Linked DNA regions of Arabidopsis thaliana. The protein of the gene in region 2 interacts with the protein of the main gene of each other region in a pairwise test. Each region holds a gene or a part of one and is shown on either strand. Other genes may lie near its edges.

Region 1 (3,746 bases), on a different chromosome or scaffold from region 2:
GTTCAGATCTATTTTACTTTAATGCGCGAGTGATTTTAAATTTCTTTTTCGAAATATTGAAAAATTCGAATTTTCTGTTGCGCTTTTTGTTATCCGCCATAAGTTCATGAAGCGGCAAAGAGAGAAAAAGTTTTTGGCGTGGATAGCTGACGTGGTTACTTTTGATCCGTCTACCAATGAACGGCTATGATTTTACCGTATCTACAAAGTTGGTAACAACTTTTTCCTATCTAACATTTTTATGGAAATGAAGAACTAATGCATAATTATAAGTTTTCAACTCTTTCAAAATTCTTCAAAAATAACCAACTTTTTATAGATACAAATTTTGAATTTCTCTAAAATACAAACATTTAGTTCAGCTTAATAAGTTGGACTCATCTTAATAAGTTAATATGTAGTTGTATTTTAACAGAGTTAACGATGTTTCTTATATTTTCTTAAAATTCTGCATGATATATCAATAGATAGTTGTTGATTAATCTGAGAAGTGAGAGACGTATTAAACATAAATTTTGATTCTCACTGATTCCACATATTTCTGAGATTAGTGAAAATCTATGCATGATACCCATCAGAACCAAAATCATTTGTAACATTAACGTTAATGCACAAGTCACTATGATACAAATCTGTATATTATCTTATCTTTGTGACATTAATTTAGAGAATATAGAAACTCGTGAAAAGAAAAAGAACAAAAAAAAGAGAGGGAGTGAATGCACGTGTCATTTCTTGAGATATCGTCTATGAAATCTCTATAGACCTCAAACTTCCTATGTTCTTACTTTAGGGTGATTGTCGGCGGCTTGGACGACCCATGTGCCGGTACGTGGCCCAAAAACAAAGAAACGTGGCTCATCAGCTTGTCTTTCCTAGAAAATTTAGTCCCACAAGAGCAAACCCACTTTATATCCCCACAATGCTTCTCGTGTGTCCTAAGATCAGACAGAACCGAGAAATGCTTCACACTACATCTCCTGCACATATACATTTTGGGACAATGACTCCTCTTGTAATGATTCTTGGCGCAAATCACAGATTTCAACGGTTGAAACTTCTCGTGCCTCTGGTTCCATCTACACCCGTGTTGAGGACAGGAGTAGTAATGTTTCTTTAACGAGTATCCTCCTTTCTTGTCTTGGCTCGTTGGGCTGATCAAGGCCTCACGTGTCTTGTACTCATCCCCGTGCGCTCTCATGTGCATCCTTAGATTAGCGTCTCTCTTAAACCCTTTCCCACAAATCTGGCAGTAATGCGTGTATTTCGCTAGTAGGTCCGCTACGTCTAGCTCCAGTATATCGTAGCTCCCGGAACTTGGTTTAGAACGATGTTTATCTTTTTTAGGGTTTATGGTTTCGGTGTTGTACCAATCAAGATTCTGGTCGGGAAACGAGATCTGCCCTCTTTCTTGGACACCAAAAAGGTTGGTCGACTCTTGCACAAAATCATGACCCGGGTCGGTTTCTTGTCGGGAAAACTCCAAAACCATTGCATCTACGGTTTGATCATTATCGATATCGTTGTTGTTGTTGTTAGATCCGATTTGGAGTTGTTGGCAAGTATATAACATGGATGAAGCAGCCGTGATGATCTCTTGAACCAAACTTCCGATGTTAGCCACGGCCAAAGACGTTGACCCCGAGGATTGGTTAATGTTATTAGTAGATACCATGTAGAAGCTGACCAGAGATTGGATCTGATGGACTTTTTCATGTAAGGTAGATAGATTGTATAGAAGAGAGAGTGAAACGTCGTCGTCTTCCATTGATTTCGTCCCGGTCGTGGTCACGGGATTAACATAGATTTGTTTTGAGGAAGTACTGGTCTCCCCGGAGAAGCTAGAGATTGATCCTTCAACTTTCTTTGCAATATGCTCATCTCGATTCATCATATGTATATGCATGTATATGAAGAATCTAGCTTGAGTTTTGTTCTTATATTTTCTTTGGATTTTGTTGAATCTTTAAATTCTTTGTGGTATATTTGTTTCATATATATGCCAGACGGTCCAGACTCTAGAGAGATGCAATGAAGAAGACACCCTACCCTCTACCGTATAAAATACTCGCGAGTTGTGACATACATTCACACAAAATAACACACACAAACAAATACATGTCACACATATAGTAATTTATTTTTTCGTTTCACTTTATCAAACATCTTAAAATCGGAAAGATTATACTAAATTGAGTAAAATTTGAAAACTAAGCTATTGAACCTAACTATATTTTGAACCTTGCAGTTTATTAGTGATTTAAAATCCAAAAGATATTTTGATCCAAACAAAATATTGTAATTAAAAAAAAAAACATTCTAATTGATATATTATGTCAAGTAATGTTTTTTTTTCTTAATTTAGAAGTTAGAATTTAAGAATTTTATGTTTTCTAGAGACGGGACACACGTTAGGTTACATTCATCTGTTTTAGAAAGAAAAAAAAAATTAGCGGGGGTTGATGAACCCTTAATCAACCATTGGGCCAAAGGACTTCCACAACTATATTTGTTTATGTTTATGTTTGATTTTATTTAAAATCAGATATTTAATTAAAGATTTACAAAGATGTTTTAAATTAAAAAGACATCTAGACGTTTATAAATATACGATACATAGAAGTTGTAAATAATGTCTTTTTGTCAATAATGACAATAATATGCAATATACAGATTTTGATGAACCCGGATGCTGGCAAGAGAAAACGCTAGAAAAGTTCAATAGACTAAGTTTTTGTCGTCATGAATGATGTTTTTTCTTCTCTCTAAATGCATTTGTCATGTATATGAATTATTTACATTAGGTTGAAAATGGAATAATAGAAGTATGTGATGTGGTTAGGATTAACTTGGAAGTCAACTCGAGATAGCAAAAGCGACCATCCCCACATAAATCCTCCCCCGGATGAAACCTTAACTAGACTTTGTCAGCTACATCTTATGAGTTAAATAAACGAAGAAGGTCAATCCCGATGTAATTAAAGAATGATTAACCTAAGTCAAGTGTTAGTGTTCTTTCATGGCCTTTTCTTGTATTGTTCTATATACAATACGTTCTGTAACTGTCAAGCTCACATCTATATAATATCTTATGTCAAATCCAATCCTTTAAAAAAAAAGTTGCGACTACATTCAGTTCTCTTATCTGCTTACATGCACACATATTTTTTTTTCTTTTCATGCACACATATTTGTACACGCGTGCATATACGATTATATGATTGGATCTTACATGAAATGTTTATAATGTGGCCATCGGCATGAGTTGCAATTATATTAAATAAATATTGCTTATGCGTGCTCATTTTTTAATTTCGGAAGAAGTAGTTTTGTTGGTGACTAATCAAAATTTCTATGCAGTGATGATGATATGGGTGATCAATGCTGTTTCTTGGGGTTAGCTTTGGTGAGTTACGTTACTTTTTGTCCTTTAGAAGAAAAAAATGCCACGTTAGTTAACGCTTTTTAAAAAAAAGAAGTTGCTGCTACCATTACAGTGACAGTGTATTCCACATGCGATTCTAGTAGAGTTTTTTAGTTCTTTTTGCTGGGAACCAACCTGCAAACCACATTTGTAAATAAGACGTTATTAAACCAGACTTCACTAATATAGGCCAGTCGAACTGGCTCACCACAACATGGGAATGTAGGATGACATGAATCTCTGAATTACAAATGTCATGTATATAATTACCCTCAGTTTTAAAATGCTACACCAAACAAATTCAACTCAACTACTTTAATTT
Region 2 (5,595 bases):
TAATTTTGTATTTTTCTAAGAAATATTGAAACATGAAAACTAAACGAACGGACCACGAGGCCTGTTAAGAACAGATTCTCTTTCTTGTTTGATATTGATATTGATATTGGGCCCATGAGTAAGTTATAATCTGTTGTCTTGTATTTTAGGAAGGACCCACTTCAGAAACGTGCAAAAACTAGTCCATCAGCCAAGAGAGGAATTAGCAGACAATATGAACATTTTAGTGGAAAGAAAGATGAAACCGGATAACTAACCGATAGATAGATAATCCCAATCCATAATTCACCTAGAACTCGAGGAAAGGGCAAATCAAGCCTAGAAGCTAATCATGAAGAAAGAAAGATCAGCTAGGAGAACATTGTTTAATTGAATTGTTGAGTATGGTCGAATGACCTACATATATTGTTGCTGACATGAAAGAAACCTACAAACCAAAACCGGTTTAAATAAACGATTTAGTTAAACCAGAGATAATAAGGAATTAGGAGGAGTAAACCATGTTATCGATGAAGCTTCTGTTACAACTTACAAAAGAGCAATAAAAGAGATAAAAAAAAAAGTCATTAAGAGCAAACTAATATCATTCCATAAAAAAATGGAAATAATACAAAGCACAAACCTTGTACCGAGAGAACCCGGTTTGTATACAGTCTATAACCCCTAAACCGGTTCTGGTCGCAATAAAAAACATACAGACATTTCCCCAAAGATATTTTAAAAAGAATACCAAAAATCAAAATCAAGATGTAAAAAACACTTTACAGTTGTGTTTAACAAATAAATAATATGAAGATGGAAACAAGAAGCAGAATCATATTTTGGTTGTGTAGTTGTTACTAGGGGGAGTTTTCATGAAGCTAATGATCTTGGAACTCTCATACCAAATCCATGCTTCACTTTCTCAATCCTGTTTCAAGTTTAACACACTAAAACTTTAGAATCTTAGGTGATCTCAAAATCTCAAAAGAATAAAAATCATTTGTGTGAATCTGCTTACGTTGGGGCTAATTTGCCAAGGCTGTGAAGTTCTTCTCCTGAATCTTGATCAAGGATTCTTCCTGATATATCAACAATGTAAGAACGGTTCTTGTCTCTAGGCAGACCACGACCCACAAGTAACTCGAAATCTCTCTTGTGAAGCTCTCTTCCATTCACAAACACGTCTGTGTTTCCTGCAGCGCAGTTATCCAGCATTGGATGGCTAAACTCTTCAATAAATGGCTGCAACAACAACAAGTAAGTCAACCATTTCTTCATCAATTTGATGACACCATTCCAATAATCAACTTGAGAGAACAATGTGAAGGTACTTACAGGTATTATACCGAGACACGGTTTGCCCATCACTCCCCAGAACCCAGCTCGGTAATCATACCTGAATCAGAGACATGTATCAGAAACTGAGTAAAGGGAAAAACAAAAACAAGAGAGAAACAGTGGATGCTGAAGTTCATGGAAGTACCAATACTTTCCAGCTTGGATTGGTCCAGCTAATTTCTCAGCACTGCTAACAAGATCTTCTGGTATAAGATGTCCATTAACCCAAACCTCTAATGACTTCATCTGGTCTTCGTTTTGATCAGTAGAGGACCTCGTTGTGATCTCTGTCGAACCGTACTCACTACCCTTTCTGTTTGAGTACCTTGAATCTTCTGAGATCTCGGTGTTAGAGTATCCATTGTAAGAAACCTCTGTCTCTGTAGCTACTGATTCTGGTTTCAGCGAGTCCTGTGTCATGAAAGACTTTTGCTTATCTGGCTTTTCATAACCTAACTGCGCCATTCCATAAGCGAGTGCAGCTCTGTTTACATTAGAATACTCAAAAAGTTCAAGGAGACTGGCATTATCAGGAGCAGCGGGTTCAGGTGCTTTTGACCCTTTACCTCGCCGACGAACAGATTTGACCTCCTTCTGTTGTTGTTCACTAGAATTGCTCGATCTTTCTTCATCATCTGAGTGTTGAGATTCAGAGCGGACGCTTTGCGTAGTAATAGTATCCTGATGATTTCTCAGTTCTTGCACTGGTTCTTCTTCATCCTTACGTGGAATATCTCTACCTGAGCTGTTGAAATCAACAGAAGAGACTTCCTCCTCTATCACTACTGTGTTTGTTGTGTTTCTATCTTCAACCTCTAGAGAGACCGGTTTTGTTTCCTCATTACCAGAAGAGAAAACGAGTTTCCTATCAACGATTGTGAAACTAATAACTTCAGAACAAGCACCGCACTGCAGCTTATGTAACCTTTCCTGAGACAAAAGCTTCTTCTTAGGCAAGTAAAGCAGCTCAAAGCAACTATGACAAGCTATAAAAGGAGCACCACCAGCAAGAGGATGACAACGTCGAACACCAGTATCCGATACAGCTTTCTTAACATACCCACGAGCAAAAGCACCGCCCATTTCAGAATCATGTTCACTCGGCCACCTTGCATAACCACCTCGAGGACCTGGAGTGCCCATCGAAGAAGGAAAACTCGAACCGTTATTAACACGTGGACTATACGGTGTCGTGAGTTTCTCGCCACGATGGTGAGACGAAACCGGGCTATACGGAGGCATATCACTGTACTGTGTAGCGAGTTTCTCTTCACGATGGTGAGACGAAACCGGGCTATACGGAGGCAGGTCACCGTACCTACCAGGAGTAGCTGGATAGTAAGAATGTGGCTCAACTATATCAGGACCAAGTTCAACATATTGACCTCCAGGATACTGACGAGCCATCTGATTAGGGTAATGACCAGGAGGATACCAGTTTGGATTAGGAACTGGAGGTGGTCTTCTTTGGTACCCATAAGGATCTTGATAAGCTTGAGGATACATTCCATGAACCGGTCCAGGGTATTGAATAGGTTCTGGATACTGATGGTAATAAGAAGGACCAGGATTATGATTAGCATGACCATGAAGATGAACTGGTCTAAGGAAAGGCTGATTCTGATCTGGTTCTTTAGGTTTATCAACTACATTATTACCACCACCACCACCGCGAAGTAGATGATCTTTGATAGAATCTAACCTTCTTAAAAGCTCAGCTCGTTCATGCTCTGTATACTCAATAGGGTTGTTGCTGCTGCTTGTGTTCTTAGATGAAGAATCTGATCCGTAATTAGGCTCGTCATTTCTCAAGCTTTTTCCAGATCTTTGAGACCCAGCTCGCGAATTTGAGTGTTTCTCCTTCAGACTCGTTTCTTCTTCGCTTCTTGAAGAACCAGCATCTGATCTCGTACCTTCTGCTTCAGAGACATCGCCTCGCGACCTCATCAGCCACTATTTCTAGGGTTTTGCTTTGTTTTTTTCCAACTGCGATTCAAATCAAAAAAGTTTCGATTTTTTATCAAATTCGAACTCAAAAACATATATCTCCGATTGAATTCAGATAAAACGAAGAACCAACAGGTAGAAATCAAACGAACCGTGAAGAATGTCGTCGGCGATATAGGTGAGAAGACGAATTTGATGATCTTCTCCGGTGGGAATAAATGAACCAATCTCTATGATGCAACCAATTTTCTAAAAAGGGGTTTTTGGAAAGAAAATTCAGAAGAATTAAAAGTCTTCTTCAATTGCTTCTTGGGGGATTAAATGTCTGCTTACTTACTACCAAACTTGAGCTGGAAGGTTTAAGCAACAATTAACATTATTATGTTAATTTTCTTCTAGCGTTTTTCCTTGGCTTTCCCGGGAATCTTAAGGGAAAGACAAAAGAAAATTTGATGAATAGATTTGAAAACTTAAGGAGGGGAAGAAGATGGAAGCAAAAAATCAAACTTTGTTAGCGTTGATTTGATATTCGTTTTTTAAAACTTTTGAGTAAAGAAGAGATGAGCGCGTATGTAATGTAAGTAAGCGCGTGAAACTAGAATTTAGACTGTAGTACGGTTGAGCGGACCGGGTCTCGTTGACTCGCAGATAAGGAGACTAACCAAATTATTACTAAAATATACGAAATCTAGAAACATGAGTGTGACTGTTTACCGACAGGTAAATTAATACGTTCTCAGATATCGCAATTTTCCAAATTTGTGAACTTAATTACTAAGAACAATTCAATTACTCGGGAAAAAAACATTCAAATTTAGAACTTACGATTACTAGTAGTATTTGATTTTTCAATATATGCCAATAAGCAGCAATAGTTATTTTCTAAAACTAAGACGACTTCCTATTTTCGTACTTTTGTGAGTGTGTTTGTACGAAAACAGACCAGCTAGTCAAATGAAATTATACATTGAGCAACCTTTTTTATATCAATAATACTAGGTCTGGTCATTCGGGTATCCCTATCTGTTTGGTTCTTTTTTGGATATCAAATCTATTCGGATATGAAGAGGTTGAGAACCATTCAGATATTCTAAAAACTTGGTTCGATTTTGGTTCGGATTCGGATCGGTTCGGTTGTTTTAGTAAAAATATAAAAATAACCAAAAATATCAATAATATTTTCAGATATTATTATAATAACCAAAAATACCCAAATATTATTATAATACAATTAAAAAGTAAATAAAAATAGGAAAATATCACTTTATATGCTCAGAAGACTGAAAAATTAGGTGTAGGAATTGTGGACTATTTCAACAGTAAAAGAACTAATGAAGTTACTTTATTATTCTTCTGTATTTTTCTTTTTTTTAATTAAAGTCTCATATATTGTTTTGTTACTAAATATTTTCATTGTTATCATCAGGTTAACCTCGTTAACAATTATTAGTAAATATTATGTATAAATTATCCGTTACAGTAAACATTATTCATGTATCGAATATCTTAACGTTTTCATATAAATATTATTCTGTTATATAATATATTAGCATGTTATCATTCTATATATCATGTAGTTATAATTATTATCATGTTAATTATATAAAAAAGTCTAATTTCCTTTTATTGTGCTGAATATACATAAATAAAAAATTCTGATTTACAATTTTAAATCGATAAATATGTTTTAACAAATAATTTATAAACTTATCGCGATATCATAGTTTTTAAAACATTAAACAAATAATTATATACTTATCATCCGAATATTACAATTATTTTTATTCAATAGCATTTTTGTAATTAATTTTTTTAAAAAAAATTTTTTGGTTTATATATTATTTATCTTTCATACTTACCTAAATAACTAATATTTATATATAAATTCTTTATTTTTTCATCATCCTCCCAGCATATCGATTAATATAGTCCATAAAAATACGTCAAGTTTAATGCTTCCATGTTAGAAGACGTGCTCTCAAAACTTCTTCTTTTGTTTGTTTTCTAATTCACAACTTGAATCTAAAAGAAACCTGGATCCTAAACGTTGAAAAATATTAACCTCGTAAACGAAGACTTGAAAGATATATGGGGAGTGTTATATGATCACATAGTGTAGGTCGCCTTCTGACTATTTTTGTGGTTTATACAAAAAGCTACGTACAGCTGTAAAGTCTTCTACTCTGTGTCTCTGTCTATCATTTAAAGATGGATTTATAGATAGTCCACTTTCCAACACCAATCAGATTTGACAAAAATATTAACATTGCATTTTTGGGATAACTATCGTTGACTTTTTTACTACCTATTTTATCGGTTAGTTATTAG
Region 3 (5,529 bases), on a different chromosome or scaffold from region 2:
GGAAATGGACCACAAAATCTCCCAACAAGCATCATGATGAAACCTGAGTATGTTCGGGACAAGTTTTACAACGAGAGCCCCATGGAGGTGTGTCCTTTATTACCAACTCTGTTCTCATCTCTGCCTCAATTTTTTTTGTAGAGAATCATCATCATTCATTTATTCATTCTGATCAGGATTACACACTGGCAACCACACTTCTGCGTCCGGCCCCTGTCATGGCATTCATAGGCATAATGGATATTCCGGGAGCTCCAGAGACTGACAAAATCCCAAGAGTGTACGTGAAGACAGGCAAGGACCATTTGTTCGAACCAGTTCTTCAAGAGGTAATGTTGGCCCTGTGGCCTCCTGCTCACACCTTCCTTCTTCCGGACAGTGACCACTCTGCTTTTTTCTCCCAACCTCAAGAACTCTATCAATTCCTCCTTCAAGCAGCCTCATCTCTTTCTCCCTGATATTTATGTCTCTCTGGAACTCTTTTAAATCCATCTTTTGGATACTTACTTAGCTTGCATAAAACTGAATCATATTCATATATATTATGAGATACAGAAAAAGGAGCCTACAATAATAATTGCTATGTAAATGTTACCGCGCCTCCAACTGCGGTATTACTCAGGCGAGTGGTGTTCAAACAATCAACATAAAGCCTTATAAGACATACAAACTCAAAAACATAGATAAAAAGGGAATGAGATCCAAGGGGTGATTTAAACTTGGACGTTGGAGTCCTTGGGTTTGCTATTGTCATCTGAAGATGGCCGAGTGGTCTCAGAGTCTGAAACTCGTATCTCTTCAATCATTCTAACAACATCATCCATGGTGGGTCGTACCTCAGGCACTTGAGCTACACATGCCATAGCAATCTGCAGCATCTGTACCATTTCTTCTTCAATGTTCTGAAACCTCATCAGCTCAATATCAAACACCTCGCTTGTCCATTCCTCTCTCACCACTGACTGTACCCACCTCGGGAGATCAACCATGTCATCCCGGCTTGGTGATTGCACTGGAGACTTCCCAGTTAACATCTCTAGTATAAGTACACCGAAACTGTAAACATCGGATTTATGTGTGTGTTTCCTTGTTTCCATTACTTCTGGTGCGCGGTAGCCTGCACCTCTCATTGGAGCAATCGGCACAGCCATCAGAGGGGTCAGTCCAAAATCAGAAATGCACGCATCGCTCTCCTGCTTCATAATCACATTTGAGGACTTTATGTTTCCATGACTGAACTTTGGACCTCCAGCTGCATGGAGATGAGCTATACCTTTTGCCGCTGATAGTGTGATTTTTACTCTGGAGTCCCAGTCAAGAGGCGTTTTCTCACTTCCCCGGTTACCTGTCATGGCATCGAAATCAAGATATTCTTAAGTACACCAACGAGGTAAATATAAACCATTAAACGAAGGTAGGAAGAAAACTAACCGTGGAGTAGTGATGATAAGTTACCAGCAGGGTAATAATCACAAACCATGAGCTTCTCATCCTTGGAGTAGTAATATGCACGGAGGGGAACCACACTAGGATGGTTCCCGACCCGGCTGATAATCTCCATCTGCTGTTCAAACTCCCTCTTTCCAGCTGCGACTTCTTTCAACCTTTTTACCACAACAGTTGTGGATTCCTCTAACACAGCCTTGTATGCTGTCCCATAGCTACCTTTTCCTAGTACTTCTGCTGATGCCCTCAACAAATCCTCTAGATCAAAGTTATAGGAGCATCCATTAAAGAATACCAGCTTATTCTTCTCAGGTTCTTGCACCCCACTTCCAAATTCTTGCTTTGCTTTCTCAGTCAAAGTCTTTACTTTTACGATGCTGTCTTCCCTCTTGTCCTTTTTCTTGATACAGCAGCATAATATAATTACGGTGATCAACAACAGCAGAGCAGCCCCTCCAGCTGCAATAGGAATGATAGTGCTTACATGTAGTTTCCTTTTTGAACCTTCTTTGTGAGGAAATGGCGGCAATGGAGGCGTGGAAATGTGTGGGGTTAGCGAAGGAGGGGGAGAGGAGGTGGCACAGGGTTGCAGAGGAAGTCCACATAACAATGTGTTTCCGGAAAAAGATGAACTGGGAAAGCCACCAAGTGCAGAGGGTATTGAACCATTAAGATGATTGTTGCTCAAGTTTAAACGTCTCAGACTTACTGTATCAAGATTAGGTACTGGTCCAGAAAGTTTGTTATTTTGGAGGCTCAACCCTGTCAATTGCTTCAGATTTTGGAACGTTGCTGGTATCTTCCCGGTGAAAGAGTTAAATGAGAGATCTAAGATATTGAGCTGTCGGGACACAAAGGAAGGAACCTCACCAGAGAAGTTGTTATGTTGGAGATAGATGTAATCTAGTGAAGGGAGAGAGTGAATGTCAGGAGGAAGGTTACCACTGAGGAGGTTTGATCTCAAACTGAGAATCCTGAGTGATTCTAGTTTACCAAGTGTGTTTGGAGGGATTGGTCCCAAGAGCCCAATTCCTGGAAGGCGAAGAGCGTGAACACTAGTACCATCAGAAGTGCAGGTGACGCCAACCCATGATTTGCAGATATGGTTAGTGGAATTCCAGTTGAGTCGTCTGAGATGAGGAACAGAAGCAGCAAATGCAAGAAGAGCTTGCCTATCCGAGTTCAGGTCGGCAATAGCATAAGAGCAGAAAGTAGTTGTGACAAACAAGAAAGAGACAAGACAAGTAGACAAGAACCCCTTTGACGGTCTCAAGGTAAATACTGGACCAACATAAAACTGGAAATGGAACTGCATCATCAGCTTGACTTCTTGACCCTGCTCCAAAAGAAAAGCAGAAGATGATAAGCAATGACTTCCACTACACAAGCCAGTATGCAGCAGCAAGGAAAGCTAAGCTAATCAGGTATCTCTAAGGAACTGGCCAAGCAAGCTTCATTTATTGGATCACAACATTGAAAGTTGATAACTAATATTCGGTTGTGAAAGAAAAAAGCATATCAGTTATATAAAAAACTACAGATGGGAAGAAAAAACAAATAAAGATACTAGTTAGATCTTCAAGAAAAAGTATGCCATTGCCTATCTTTATCTTTATCATTGGGAGATTAAACAATCCAAGAGGCTAAGATAAGAGATTGAAGCATCCAGCACAAAAAAAAAAGCAAAAGGAATAAAGCTAAAGAGCCAAACTTTAACACAAAACTTTGATGAGCAAAGAAAAGCAGACTCCTTTTGCCAAAAGATATTGTCACTAGAGAAAGAAGCAGAGGTCTGTCCATCATGTGGACAATGTCACTAAGTAAATAAAGATGAGTTTTGAGTGTCTGATTTTTATCGGAGTTGTTGAACAAACAACGTGTAGCCAGCGAATTGGAACTAATATACCACGTCACTAGCCTGTATCTAAAGTCTTGAAAGTTTCCTACCCACCTAGCCGGAGAAAATGGCGATTTTTAAGTATAATTCCCAACAATGAGAGACAGACAATTACAGAAAGTTAAAAGGAAAAATACAAAAACCAAAAAGAAGAAGAAGAGAGAAAGAGAACCTGGGAGTAGAGAGGTAAGCTAGCGAAGTAAGAAAATTGTGGGCACTGAAGAACTCAGCAATAGAGGAAGAAGAACTTATGCAGATGGAGCGCTCAGACCTCTGCACTCTACTGCATTGAGCGGACTATAACACAATCTTGAAATGGTGAAAGAGAAGAAAGAAGAAAAGGCAATGTATGTGGGGACTAGTGGAGAAGAAGAAGAAGAAGAAGAAGAAGAAGAAGAAGAAGAAGAAGAAAGAGAGAGAGAGTGTGGTGAAGTTAAACAAAAGAGGCGTATTCGTTAAGGGTAAGACAGTCTTCAAAAGGAGTCTTTAGATCAAATCATATTGGTGTGTAAACACCGCAACAAACGCTAATGTAGAGAGACCCAGAGACTGACCAAGCTTAAGATTCTTATGAGATAGCAAAATGACAAATACATGAAAACAAAAACCATCTTGATCCAAGTTGTTATTTTTAAAGTAATCATTTAGATATGGTAATAGTTCTTACCTGTCCAACCACTCTTGCTACTGTTTTCTCTTGATTTGCATCATTCTTGATTTGCGGATACTATGTAATAGTAATACTGGTCATTTCATCATCTATCACCAACTCCAAAACAAGATCCAACACATTTAGGCATTATTGAAGTCTGAAGTTTTCTATGAACATTGAGCAGTGCAGCGTGCTCCTAATATCATCACTATTTTTGTTGTCTTTTTAATCAGAGGAGACATAATTATTACCATGCTCTGGCAATTCTAAGGACACCATCCCCAGTTTTTCTTATACATTAAACTGTAAAAAGCTGATAGACTAAAAACAAATGTGAACTCGAGTTACAGAAATTAGGAGATGCAACTTAGTTCTTAATTTAACTGCAAATTTGATTCCATGTCCTTAATAATTCTCAAAACACACTGGAATTTTAACAACAGCCATAATCTGGTTCCACTTCTGCTTTCTCTTCACTTGTAAAACTCAAAGTCCGTGTCTGGCTTCTTAACATTTGCGCGGTAGCCCTTCTCGAAATCCTTAGGTAGTATCACATATCTGTTCTTTCGCACCGCATGCATACCAGCTTCCTGGCAAATTGCTGCTATCTGCATTGTTCAACATAAAATCAAAATAGTGTCATTAATAACTATCATCATTACATGCAATCTTTTTAGGAACAATTCCCATGTACATGATAAAATCAAACCATATTACTGCCAACAATTGATTTCTCAACAATTCAGTTCAGGACAATGATTAACAAACGACTCAGCTAACATTCATACATAATGCTTGAAACAGTATGATTATGCTCAAGTGCATATTTTGAAGAACATCATTAGGTGGTGACCCAGAAACACTGGAGGATATATCATGGTAAAAGTAAACTATAGCGGGAAGAATAGAATGGTAAGCAAAATAAACTAACCTCAGCAGCGCTAATTTTATCAGGCCGTGAAACATAGTCTTCCAAGTCAACCTCATCGCTAAGGTTCATTTTGGAGGTGCATACCTACACAAGGAAAAACCAATCAATAAGACAGAAACTAAGATATCAGTCAAAACTTTCTTTTGAGAAAACATTTGGTTTCATATCTCTTTAACTAGTTATTTAAGTGCTTGTAGTAATTAACTTACCTGGAAAACAAGCCTCTTTTGACGTCTATCAGGAAGGGGGAACTCAATCTTACGATCAAGTCTTCCAGGACGTAAGAGAGCAGGATCTAGAGTGTCTGCCCTGTTTGTTGCCATTATGACCTTGACATTCACGGTCTGGTCAAATCCATCCATCTACATCGAATTCAACACAATAAGTTAAGGACACAACTAAAATCCATTATTCTACAACATAAGATCTGAATTACAACTAAAATTCATTATTTGTTCTCACCTGATTAAGAAGCTCCATGAGAATACGCTGAACTTCCCTATCGGCTCCTGTTTGAGCATCAAACCTAGCAGTAGCGATGGCATCTACCTCATCAATGAAGATGATAGCTGGAGCATTTTCCTTGGCAAGACGGAAGACATC

The links. The genes of interacting proteins can lie anywhere in the genome.
Region 1: the proteins of AT4G01090 (region 2) and AT5G22890 interact in a two-hybrid assay, tested with the Arabidopsis thaliana proteins (one large-scale study listed by BioGRID).
Region 3: the proteins of AT4G01090 (region 2) and AT5G58300 interact in a two-hybrid assay, tested with the Arabidopsis thaliana proteins (one large-scale study listed by BioGRID).

Annotation. Positions count from the first base shown.
Region 1 is NC_003076.8:7,652,757-7,656,502, forward strand, and holds AT5G22890 (C2H2 and C2HC zinc fingers superfamily protein), read right to left. Parts: upstream 2,080-3,746; 5' UTR 1,907-2,079; coding exon 785-1,906; 3' UTR 501-784; downstream 1-500. UniProt on the Arabidopsis thaliana protein: Probable transcription factor. Together with STOP1, plays a critical role in tolerance to major stress factors in acid soils such as proton H(+) and aluminum ion Al(3+). Required for the expression of genes in response to acidic stress (e.g.
Region 2 is NC_003075.7:469,982-475,576, forward strand, and holds AT4G01090 (hypothetical protein (DUF3133)), read right to left. Parts: upstream 3,899-5,595; 5' UTR 3,420-3,898; intron 3,307-3,419; 5' UTR 3,268-3,306; coding exon 1,466-3,267; intron 1,379-1,465; coding exon 1,318-1,378; intron 1,225-1,317; coding exon 1,001-1,224; intron 911-1,000; coding exon 853-910; 3' UTR 525-852; downstream 1-524.
Region 3 is NC_003076.8:23,570,056-23,575,584, reverse strand, and holds AT5G58300 (Leucine-rich repeat protein kinase family protein), read right to left. Parts: upstream 3,751-5,529; 5' UTR 3,516-3,750; intron 3,398-3,515; exon of another isoform or gene 3,158-3,397; intron 2,783-3,157; 5' UTR 2,765-2,782; coding exon 1,432-2,764; intron 1,346-1,431; coding exon 714-1,345; 3' UTR 501-713; downstream 1-500. Other genes in the region: MES18 (methyl esterase 18), read left to right, coding at 1-87, 177-458; RPT3 (regulatory particle triple-A ATPase 3), read right to left, coding at 4,469-4,603, 4,927-5,010, 5,136-5,288, 5,389-5,529.